Linked DNA regions of Danio rerio. The protein of the gene in region 2 purifies or fractionates together with the protein of the main gene of each other region. This does not show direct contact. Links are inferred from orthologs where the notes say so. Each region holds a gene or a part of one and is shown on either strand. Other genes may lie near its edges.

What was found. Proteins that work in one complex are often made in the same cells at the same time.
Region 1: the proteins of sqstm1 (region 2) and trim13 purify together in Homo sapiens (affinity purification with western blotting; 3 studies listed by BioGRID). This does not show direct contact. The link is inferred for Danio rerio from reciprocal best matches to the Homo sapiens genes SQSTM1 and TRIM13.

The regions. Positions count from the first base shown.
Region 1 is NC_133184.1:31,314,535-31,320,386, reverse strand, and holds the start of trim13 (tripartite motif-containing 13), read right to left. Parts: upstream 3,916-5,852; 5' UTR 3,865-3,915; intron 3,518-3,864; coding exon of another isoform or gene 3,412-3,517; exon of another isoform or gene 3,393-3,411; intron 1,901-3,392; exon of another isoform or gene 1-1,900. Other genes in the region: spryd7b (SPRY domain-containing protein 7b), read left to right, coding at 3,412-3,517, 3,916-4,032. UniProt on the Homo sapiens protein: Endoplasmic reticulum (ER) membrane anchored E3 ligase involved in the retrotranslocation and turnover of membrane and secretory proteins from the ER through a set of processes named ER-associated degradation (ERAD).
Region 2 is NC_133189.1:19,143,644-19,148,437, reverse strand, and holds the end of sqstm1 (sequestosome-1), read right to left. Parts: exon of another isoform or gene 3,775-4,794; coding exon 3,443-3,774; exon of another isoform or gene 3,364-3,442; coding exon 3,222-3,363; exon of another isoform or gene 2,769-3,221; coding exon 2,688-2,768; exon of another isoform or gene 2,575-2,687; coding exon 2,396-2,574; exon of another isoform or gene 2,344-2,395; intron 2,286-2,343; coding exon 2,087-2,285; intron 1,988-2,086; coding exon 1,827-1,987; 3' UTR 1,377-1,826; downstream 1-1,376. Other genes in the region: mrnip (MRN complex-interacting protein), read left to right, coding at 70-200, 304-406, 561-1,223. UniProt on the Homo sapiens protein: Molecular adapter required for selective macroautophagy (aggrephagy) by acting as a bridge between polyubiquitinated proteins and autophagosomes.

The DNA of each region.
Region 1 (5,852 bases), on a different chromosome or scaffold from region 2:
GCATACAATTATTTTATTTTGCCTCGAAAAAAGCTTTTATATTGCGATAACGCGTTACGACGCTACACTGAAATTAAACCAAATAGGCTGTATAAATGTAGCAATTTTTATCAATATGATGTGCATCGCATTTTCCACTGCATTTCAAGCGATTGTGTGGTGAGGCACGACTGGTTAACCAAATATGAACTAGTTCAGATTGCCTGCAGATGAAGACTCCTGACTGCACCAGTACTTCATTCTTAATTGCCCGCGTGAGAACTTTCGCGCAGGAATATCCGATGACCTGTCCAACAAACTTCAAGCTATTGATTTGATATCTCCGTCGTCGAGTTGTCAAAAATGTTTCTCTGTAAGCCTGGGTTCGGTTGTCAAGGTATTACTACGGTTGTGGCAGATTTTGCAGGAGGAAAGCATCAGCAATTGGACCAGAAGCGCACTAACTGCTTAGGCAGTGTGCAACGCAATCGTGGCTCTTGTTGCTGTGCAGAATTCGCCCTTTCCAATTGGGAAATTTTAACTAGTTCAGGTCAAGGCAGTAATGGTCAGGCAGTTAAAATGAATGCGCACGAACAGCTAATGATCAGTGCATCTGAATGTAAAGGTTTCACTGCCACATTGCGCGCAATATCCGCGTAACGCAGTGTATTTGGAGACTCGGGTAGCTGAACACACGTTTCGTGCTGTGAGCAATAAATGCAGAGGATCCCTTCATTCTTGGATGGGGTTGTTGCGGGGGAGCACTCGCGCTCTCTCCTAGATCAGCGTTTCTCCACAGATTACGTCAATACTGGCGTTACCCATCATGTACCCACATAGACGCCTAATTCATCCATTCAGTCAAGTGCAGTAACTACGCGCTTTTCATTTCGATCTAGTCATGGCTTTGCAGGCAGACACTAAAAAGCGCGTCCGTATTTTCTGCCACAAAGATGGTCCTCCATCACGCCACTTTGGTCGCATATGCCCGTGCCATGTGTCAGGGTCTTGACGCATCGATAACCAATCGCTACCGAGTCACGTGTCAAAATATTTTGACCTCGATTTTTCTTCCCCTGTTTCCATGCCATCAGGAAGAGAACGGCTTCTGAAGCGCCGCGCTCATTGGTCGAATCAGGGATGAAAGCGTATGCAATGACGTAATTGGCCACGAGAGGGCGAGAGTCCCAGTGATCTGTCACAGAAATAGGATAAGTGCTTCTGAATGTTTGTTTTTATGGCACATCAGTTCATATAACTGCATTTTAATGCATACGGTTTCATCCCTCGAATTCATCAACACGAAGTGTTATATGATCTCACTGCTTTTAACTGAAACTTTTCTGATCAGTTAATAAGAAATCTTAGTTTTGAACTTAAAGCACACGGCAATGAATGTGACATTTTCCAATCATCCAAATAACATATAATCTTACTCGCAGCATATTAGGTTGATTTCTGAAGGATCACGTGACATTTAAGACTGCAGTAATGATGCTGTTATTTTTATTGAGAGGTGATGACATTTTTCTCCTCTGTTTAAAACTTTTTTTGCAATTTGTTGCTGTAAGTACTGCTATAGCGTTTATTCTCAGTTCTGTTTAAAAAAAAAAAAAACTCCCCTGTGAATAATCATAATAAAGTAAATGAAAAATACCATGCTTGTTATAATGCGAGTTTATCTGTTTTTCTATTGCTACTGTATAAGTTTCATTGCCATTAAAAGTCATTGTATACTTACAAATGACATTACACCAAATACAGTTATTCAAGTATTTGATCAGTTCACTACTTTTAAGAACTCTTTTATAACACAAGTTTGAATAGACTGATTTGTGGAGGAACTGCAGGGACTTTGTGATTCAATAAAAAGCTAATAATGAAATCATAAAAATATACATTAATAAGCATGAAATGGAAATAATGGAAATAATGAAAACAAAAGCAGGTTTGAACTTAATCCTACATTAAATATTATTTAATGCATACAGAATTTCAATCTGAGTATTAAAAATTTTTTAATTTTTCTTCGAATGTGATCATTTAATCCAGATTACATGTAATCAGTATTGCACTGAGAATCGTCGAATGCTAGAAAATAATGAATTAATGCCAATGGTAAAATGATTAGACTCTAAAGCTTTTCTGTGTGAACATTGTGATGTAAATTATTAGTATGTTCGAGACAAGGGTCACCTATCTTGTTCCTGGAGGGTCGGTGTCCTGCAGAGTTTAGCTCAACACTAACCTCACACACCAGAACAGTGTTGGGGATAACCCATTAAAAGTAAAGCGAGTTACATAATAATATAACTGTTCCTAGTAACGAGTAAAGTAACGCATTACTTTTCAAAATGAAGTAATAATATTTGAGTTACTTATTTAAAAAATGTAATGCGGCTTACCTTTTAGTTTATTTTGCTTTGACAAAATTAAATGCTAAATTAAAATGAACGTAGTCATGTTGAATCACGCACTTTATGGGAGAATGCAGGAACAGTCCAAAATGAAAGTGGCAGAGCCTTACATATCTGTGATGGAAAATTCTCATTATTTTGAACACATGTAAGAACAGGAAAAGAGGATCATCTGAATGGGCAGTGATTTTACTTTTTAATAAGACAAAAAGTGCAAAAGTAGCAAACATGTTACTTTAAACTTTTATGATTCTGTGTATATGGCATGTCTCTGGGGTCAGGAAGTTTTCGGAGGATAATATCCTACCTTCATTTTTTTTATGTGTGTGTGTTTTTAAAGGAAAATGAAATTAATACAGTGTGTTGTTAATTGCAGGGCTCCTCTATTTTAAAAAAGAAAGAAATTAGAGAAAAAACCCTGCAAATTCTGAAAGTAAACGAAACAGAAACTTAAAAGTAACAACACATTGTGTACCCTAAAAAGTAACTAAGTAAAGCAACTAGTTACTAATTTGGAACCAATTCAATATTGCATTACTTTTAAAAGGAACTTCCCCCAACACTACACCTGAACATGTTAATCAAGCTATTGGAGTTGAAAATTCCAGGGAGTTGTGTTCATTTAGAGTTGGAGGTAAACTCAGCAGAGACACCAGCCCTAGAGATTGGGGACCCCAGATTTAAGATTTTTTTTTCGTTGTTAGATCATTTTTAGTCATTTGTGAGTACAAAAATAATTTTGTAGAAATAAATGCTTTTTAAATAGTTAAGAATTACTTAAGCAACTTGTTTTAAACATTTGTGTGTGTAAAAAGTTTCCCAATATAATAGTTTGACAGCAAGACTGGCCTTTCTGAGCCTGTTAGCGCCCCCTTGAGGAGGAATTTAGCGTGCGTCAGGAGAAAATCAGCATCAGCTAGCAATGATTTTTCCATGAGCTCCTCTCTATTCTGGAAGCGTGTGCGCTCTTCAGTCTGACGCGTGTAAGTGCACTTCCGGTGATCTCGGCGCTAGAATGGCCGCAGTGTTTACGTGTTGTTTGGGCTGCTGCGGGGACGGTGGACCGGGTCATGCGCCCCTCAAAGAAATGCCCACCGTTCAGCTAGACACGCATCACATGGGTAAGAGCCACTACCACTGATGTTCAGGGTCACAGAACACACATGTAATAGCGAAAAGCGGCGCTAGCAGACTGTGCTAACGTTATATCCTCAAAACAACGACCTGAACACGAAATAATAAACAGCTCTGCCATTATTGGTCTTTAAGAAAATGTTTTCATACATGTAATTTCACTCTCAAATCAGCTAAGTAGCCCAAACTACTCTGGATCAGATGCTAGATGCTAGCATACAGCTGTCAGATCCCAGTGTTTGCTTTGATTTTATTTTAATCTAGTGAACCCATGATGTGACTTTCATCTCAGTCTCGTTTTCTGCTGAAATCTCTGAAAACATGAAATACGTACCTTGTGTTGTAGCTGTGTGGGCATGAGAGTTTGCTCGGCCTTTTTTCCCAGGGACGGATGTGGTCATCGTGAAAAGCGGGAGGCGGATCTGTGGAACTGGAGCCTGTCTCGCCAACGCCCCTCTCCACCAGAACAAGAGCTATTTTGAATTCAAGATCCAGTCCACGGGTGAGCGCTTTCTCCACAGCTCTTACTGCACAGCACAGGTAGAAAATTGATCGGATGTTTAATTATGTGTCGAAAACGCTGTAAAGTAATCTCTTTTAGATTTGTGTTTTTAATGTCTGATATTACCCATGCAAACTTTGTAGTGACGAGTAGCTGTCAGGAGGATTCGTTTACCTTTTCGGAGAGATTACTGGTAGCTGACATTAAGTTTATAGTAAAATTTAGATACAAAACGTTTAGAATACAGTGTATACAACTACACACATATTTATAGTTAACTAATTTAATTAAAGCATTAGAAAAGAATTGTCATTGTAAAACAGGAGGTTTTTATTTTACTGACGGTCAAAGTCAAAATAACTTATATCTGACCCCTCCAGTTCTCTCTTTGATCGTTAGTAAGTTAATTAATTTTAGCTATAAAATGTAAACACTGCTTTTGCACGAGTAAACAAATTTAAACTATTTTAATATTGCAACATTTAACTGTTTTAGTGTTGTGTGTGTGTCTGTGTTTATATTTATACAACAGTTCTGTCTGGTTCTTGAATCTGATTGGCTGATAGCCGTGATATATTTAAGTAATATCAGCACCCGTAAAGCCCCTTTACCCTTTGTGTATTACTCCCTCCACATACAACCAGCAAAAAGCAGACACTACAGATCTAAAGTTTAAAAGATGCTTGCTCAGCTGTTTAACTGTCAGCTTATGATTTGAATCAAAGGCGGAAGAAAGTAGTTCCTCATAAAAAAGGGTTTTTGAGACTCTCCATGTTTAATTTAGTTTTTATATACACTATTATGCCGTCAAACTGTTTTATAAACACAATATCACACTCGTAGCAGTGCGATATGGCTGTATATCGGCACTGGTGGGGGCACTAAGGCACGCACGGCTCCCACCAGTGCCGATATACAGCCATATCGCACTGCTACGAGTGTGATATTGCTCATATATATATATGTGTCGAAAACGCCAGTGATGCCTTGAGACGGCATATTGTCCATTACATTAAAGTTATTATTTACATTAAAATATTTGTTTAAAGATGTTAGAAATGCACAGTATAAAATATTATGTACAGGAATTGCAAGTTATTTGATGAAGAAACTATTAATTTAGTTATTTTGATTTAGATACTACATATTTTTTACTTTTAATATGAAAAATAATGAAACCAATTAATTTTGTTTCCAAAAGCGCAAATTTATTTTTACTTTTTAATAAGAAAAAAGTTTTTTGGTTAATGTAAAAAAAGGTTGTGAGTAATGTGTGTTTTAATTTCAGTTGTTCAACGTTGATGTTCAATAAATAATTGTAAGTAGTAGATAGGGTATGTTTTAGGGTATTTTAAAATCAATAATGCACCCATCATTCAACTATCTCTTACTAGTAATATGTGATGTGAGCATATTTACTGTACAAAACTTGTCAGTGAAATATGAGGGCAAAACAAAAAATAAAATTAATATATAATCATTCATTAACAGAGTCAAAATGTTTAGTTAATCAAGATTTAAATTTTGGGCCAAATTGGCCAGCCCTACTTTATATGTCACCTGCTTATTAGATCAGTGTTTTAATCATGTATTTAATCTTCAATGTGTGAAGAAAATTAGTTTATTGTTGCATCAAATAATTTTTACTGAACATTTACATTTTTCTGAATTGCATTTAGTTTTTGTTTCATTTTGTAGTCCTAGTATTACTGGTTACATTTAATTTTAGTCTAAAACTTTGTGCAATTAATTTCAATCAATCAATTTTTTAATTTTCACATTAGACCTTAGATCTTAGAAAAAGATTCTCACTTTTCGGG
Region 2 (4,794 bases):
TTAAAACATTTGTCATATCACTTTTTACACTGCAGTGTGTAACAATAAATAATCCTATTCTTGATGTAGCAAGGTGAGGCTCATGTCAGCCGCTGGAGCAAATACACCGATCAAACTACTGAGGGTCCAAATGAAGAAGAAGAGGACGAAGATGAGAATGTTTATACAGAAAGACCCCAATTCAGAATCCAAGGAACAAGGTTAGTTCTAAAGGCAGCAGTACAATATCCATACTGCCTTGCATCATTACTGAAAACCATCTGAGCAAATATCAATGTTAAAGGTTGTTATTTTTTTAAACAGGAAAAGGAAGAAAATGTCCAGTTTAGAGCCTTTTGGTGGGAATTGTGATAACTACGAGGAATCAAGATCTGGTTATTCCCAGTTTAGGAAACAGGCCCATCTGGTAAGTCACAGATATCCATATTAATGACAGATTTGTATGCTGAGATTATGAAAAATGTCCAGACTCGCTGCACAAACCTGACAGTAATGCTGGAATAAAAAGATTATTAGATTAAATATATAGAAAAGTCATTTCACTTTTGTATCTTCTGTAGCCGCTACAACTTGAGAAGAGGTCCAGTTCATCATGGAATAAAGGGAGTGTTTCCAAATATTCAAACTGCCACAGACCAGATGATGTGGTACCAAGTGCTAGAACAAAACTCCCATCATCCCGACAGACTGTTGATCATTACCCTACAGCTTGCTCCAGTTCCACAAACACCATGGAAAACTCTATTGGAAATAAACAGCAGATTAAATCTTCCTATAGGCCTCCAACTGCTGATGTAAACAAACACCTTCCCATCCAGAGCGAAAGCCCCTCTGTTTCTTCTCATCAGACATTTGGTGAATCTACAATTGAGAACAAGGATTCCAAATGGAGTAAATTTCTCACCATCGTCCCCACTCAGGACAAGGATGTGTACGATTATGAATCTCAAAATGGTAAGAAAACTGAGATCCATTATTTCACAAAAGCAGATACTGGTGTGGATTTTGAAGAGCGCCGATGTCCAGCAGATGAAAAGGACAGTGGCATTCTAAACAGACAGAAGGATGTTGGTGGAAATGTATCCTGTCCAACCACCAGCTTCACAAAGTCTGTAGGCTTTGAAAATGCTGTCTGTAAACCCGTACTGGTCAAGGCACCATATTCCAGCTTATCTTTAAACCCACTGTTTTGTACAGATGAAGACTTTGATGACACATTTTAGGTAAGTTTGCTTTCAAGGATGGTTAAAAATGTTAAAAAAGTAATATTTTCCTTAAAATAATAATAAATTGTTAAACTATTAGCATTGATCTACATTTGTATTCATAACTAGTCCTGTACATTTCAAAATACCAAAACACCAAAACACAAGGAATGTTTTAGAGAAGTGTTTTATTGTAGATAGAAAAGACAGGAATTTTAGAAGACCAACAGCGACATTAATCCGATTCCATCTGTTTATTCAAACTAACAAACCCTCCAGGTTTATGCTTGATCTAGAAACTGCTTATTGATTATGCAAACAGAAAATCCATAAAGTGAAGTTGCACAAATATAGATCTCTACTTAACAACCTTTACGTAATATTATGCATACATGAAAATAATGTTCTTTATAATGTCAAGTGTTAAGCTAAAGACAAACATTTTGCATATATAAGCCCAATGATGAACTTAACTATGTACTAGTCACCTGAGTAATTGATATTGTTAATATTTGTGGAAATTTATCATTTTAAAAGTATAGAAAGACTAAGTTAGAAAATAGGCCAGAAGCTTCAAATATTAAGTATGGCCCAGGTCTTCTGTATTCCTGTGCTCCACCTCTACTTCTGTTGTCCTGGTGTTTTGGAGTACTGGATGGTGTCCAGAGCACCACCGATGTCGTAATTCTTGGTGTGGAGCAGTCTGGTTAGCCATCCACCCTCATCGGTGAAACCCATGGAGAGCATCTGAGACAGAGACTCCACCAGCCTAGGGTCTGCATCTGCAGGAGAGCGCAGTAAAGTTAGAATTGCTTCAACTGATATAAAGTGATAGCCTAGAATAGAGAACATCACTGGGCATAAATAATTATACACTTTACCTTGAGGAAGGTGTGGGTAGAGAGCTGCCTCGCGCAGACCAGTGGGACCGTCTCTGGTGCTTGTGCCAGAAGCAGTATTTAGTGGAGCTGGAAGATCTGCCCCGTCCTGCTCTAGTCTAAGAGACTGCAGCTCTCCTGTCGAAGGATCCACCTCTTTAGCACTAAGATGAGTCCATTCCTCATCACTACATTGGTCTTTCTGCCATTTTGAAACAGAGAATGAATAAACGTTAACATGATATGTGGCCTCCTTCTAGGTTGAAAACTTGAGACGATCAGGCCTTTTACAGCTAAGAGGGTATCTGTTACCTTTGTTCCCTCACTGACGCTCTCTTCAGTGGCCTGACTTCCTGGACCAGAGCCTCTAGAAAGAAGCCCCACAGAACCACTGTCACTCCGAGCACTGGATGGTCCACTGGAGGCAGGAGGAGTTGGGGTTACTTTGGTCCGCTTTCCCTCATGCTCAACATCGATGTCCACATCTATGCCTACAAAGGAAAAATCACTTTTATTTCAGAGGTTTTGCCTAACATGCCAATCAAAGAAGTATCAGATTGTGTTGGAACCAAATATTTGGGAAAGACCAAAGCAGGCGACTTACCAAGGGGGCTTAACATGGCTGCCACTTCTTCTCCGATGTTCTTTAGGTACTCCACGTTAGCCTGAGAAGAGGCAGTAGCACCTATAAAATAATAATTAAAAAAAAAGAATAAAGTCAGGAAAATTTTGGACATGCCCCAATTCTGTTCCAGTTCCTCCTGTTACAATAGACCAGGGGTGTAAAACTCAGTTTTTTGAGGGCCACAGCTCTACAAAGTTTAACTTTAACCCTAATTAAACAAACCTGCTTCACACAGGTAAGTGGGCTTGACAAAACTACCTGTAGAAATCACACTCCATCATTTTGACACTTTAACCGACACTTGCATAAGACACATTACAAAAAAACTTTACATTTGAAGTGTGCTTTACACAGGTGAGTGGGATTGACAAACCACCTGTAGAAACACTCTTCTTTCTATAAAAAAACACACAACCTACTCAGTTTCAGGGTTGGAACTAATCTCTGGAGGGACTTCAGCCTCCAGGAGCTGAGTTGACTTCTGCTATAGACCCTTTTAAATGATTGGCTTACCATTCTCATTTGGGTTTTCAGGAGCATCCTGGTTTTGCTGCGCTCCAGATGGACCTGGCTGAGGCTGGTTTTGAGCCTGAGCTTGAGCATTTGCCCACATGCAGTGTCTCATCTTACGCCAAAATTTCCCACGAGGGAGCCACTGCACACAAAAGATTAATCAAACCAAAATATTCAGATCATTTGCAGTGTATTGTATGTAGTAAAATAGTGCTATTCACCTCAAACACGTTGGCCATAGGATGAAAGATGGGCAGGAGGGCATGCTCCTTGTGCAGGCCTTTGCTCTGGCAGGTGGGGCACAAGTCATAATCGGGGCAAACGGTGCACTTGTAACGGGTTCCAGCCACCGGCCCATCACACCCGTCACAGGTCACACCTGGGTGCACCATTGGGTGAGGGTGGTGAGGAGGACCCCCCATATGAGGTGGTCCTGGAGGCCCCATTGGAGATGGACCCATATGACAGGGACCAGGAGGGCTAAAGTGAGGTGTAGTGAACGGAAACCCAGGAATTCCATGAGGAGAAGAATCACGTTTGTGCTCTTTTCGTTCTGAAAAAGAAGGAAATAACATAATTGCTATTAATTGAAGATGTCTATTTGCAAAAGATCTGAGATATTCAAAGGCTTGTATGGTCAAAGTACGTAATGATGAATCCAAGATGAAAAAGTATTCACACTCTTTAAATCTAATGTCATCATTAGACGCTCTTTCCAATCATGTAATCTTTCCAACCTTATAAACTGTGCACATGTAAGTGGCAGGTGTTTTAGTTTTATAGTATTCTAGTACTCAAATAACAAGAGTGAATCCAAGAACCAATCAAAATCTTCACAAAAGATCCTCACTAGTATTCCCTTATGGAAAGAAAAAGGTTTTCAAAAATATTTACCCCCCCCCCCCCTATTTGAATAGGGCAACGAAATATTGTTCTCTACAAAGTTTTATTGAATCAATCTCTGATAGACTCCCCATCAACCAATCACTGTTTGCATAGTTATTAAAGATGCTGACGTCATCCAGAGCAACAAGGTTGACTACGCCTTTTGCTCTTAGCTCATGACTTCTCTCTATTCCTAAGTAAGTTTGTCTCAGCAGCTTGAGAATAAGAGAACGCTTACACATGGAAGTTAAGGATGAAGAATACACTTTGATATTACAAATACAATTACTCCAACTGCTCTGAGTTAATCTAGTCTTCATAACGCAACAACAATGTTTTCAAAGCCTACTAACTTGGATGCATTCAAAAAGTAGCATGCCAGAATTCGCTGTATCTAGTAATATTCCAAAGAATGCATCAGATGGAAAAATTTACCTTCCCATGAGATCATGGAAATGTTTTGAGAATGGCAGCGGAGCAACACAACTGGTAGATGTCTTTTGTAACTTTACGTCACTTCACAAATATAATGTGAATGCAGTCGGTGCAGATTGCATTCATACTATATAGAACACGCCTGAAGCTAGTTATTAAAAGCACCACCTACAGAGAGTATGTGATTTTGGATGCAGCCAAATATGATTGTTTGTTAGGTTCGCTCTGATATTCCCGTTTATGGTTTCCTTGT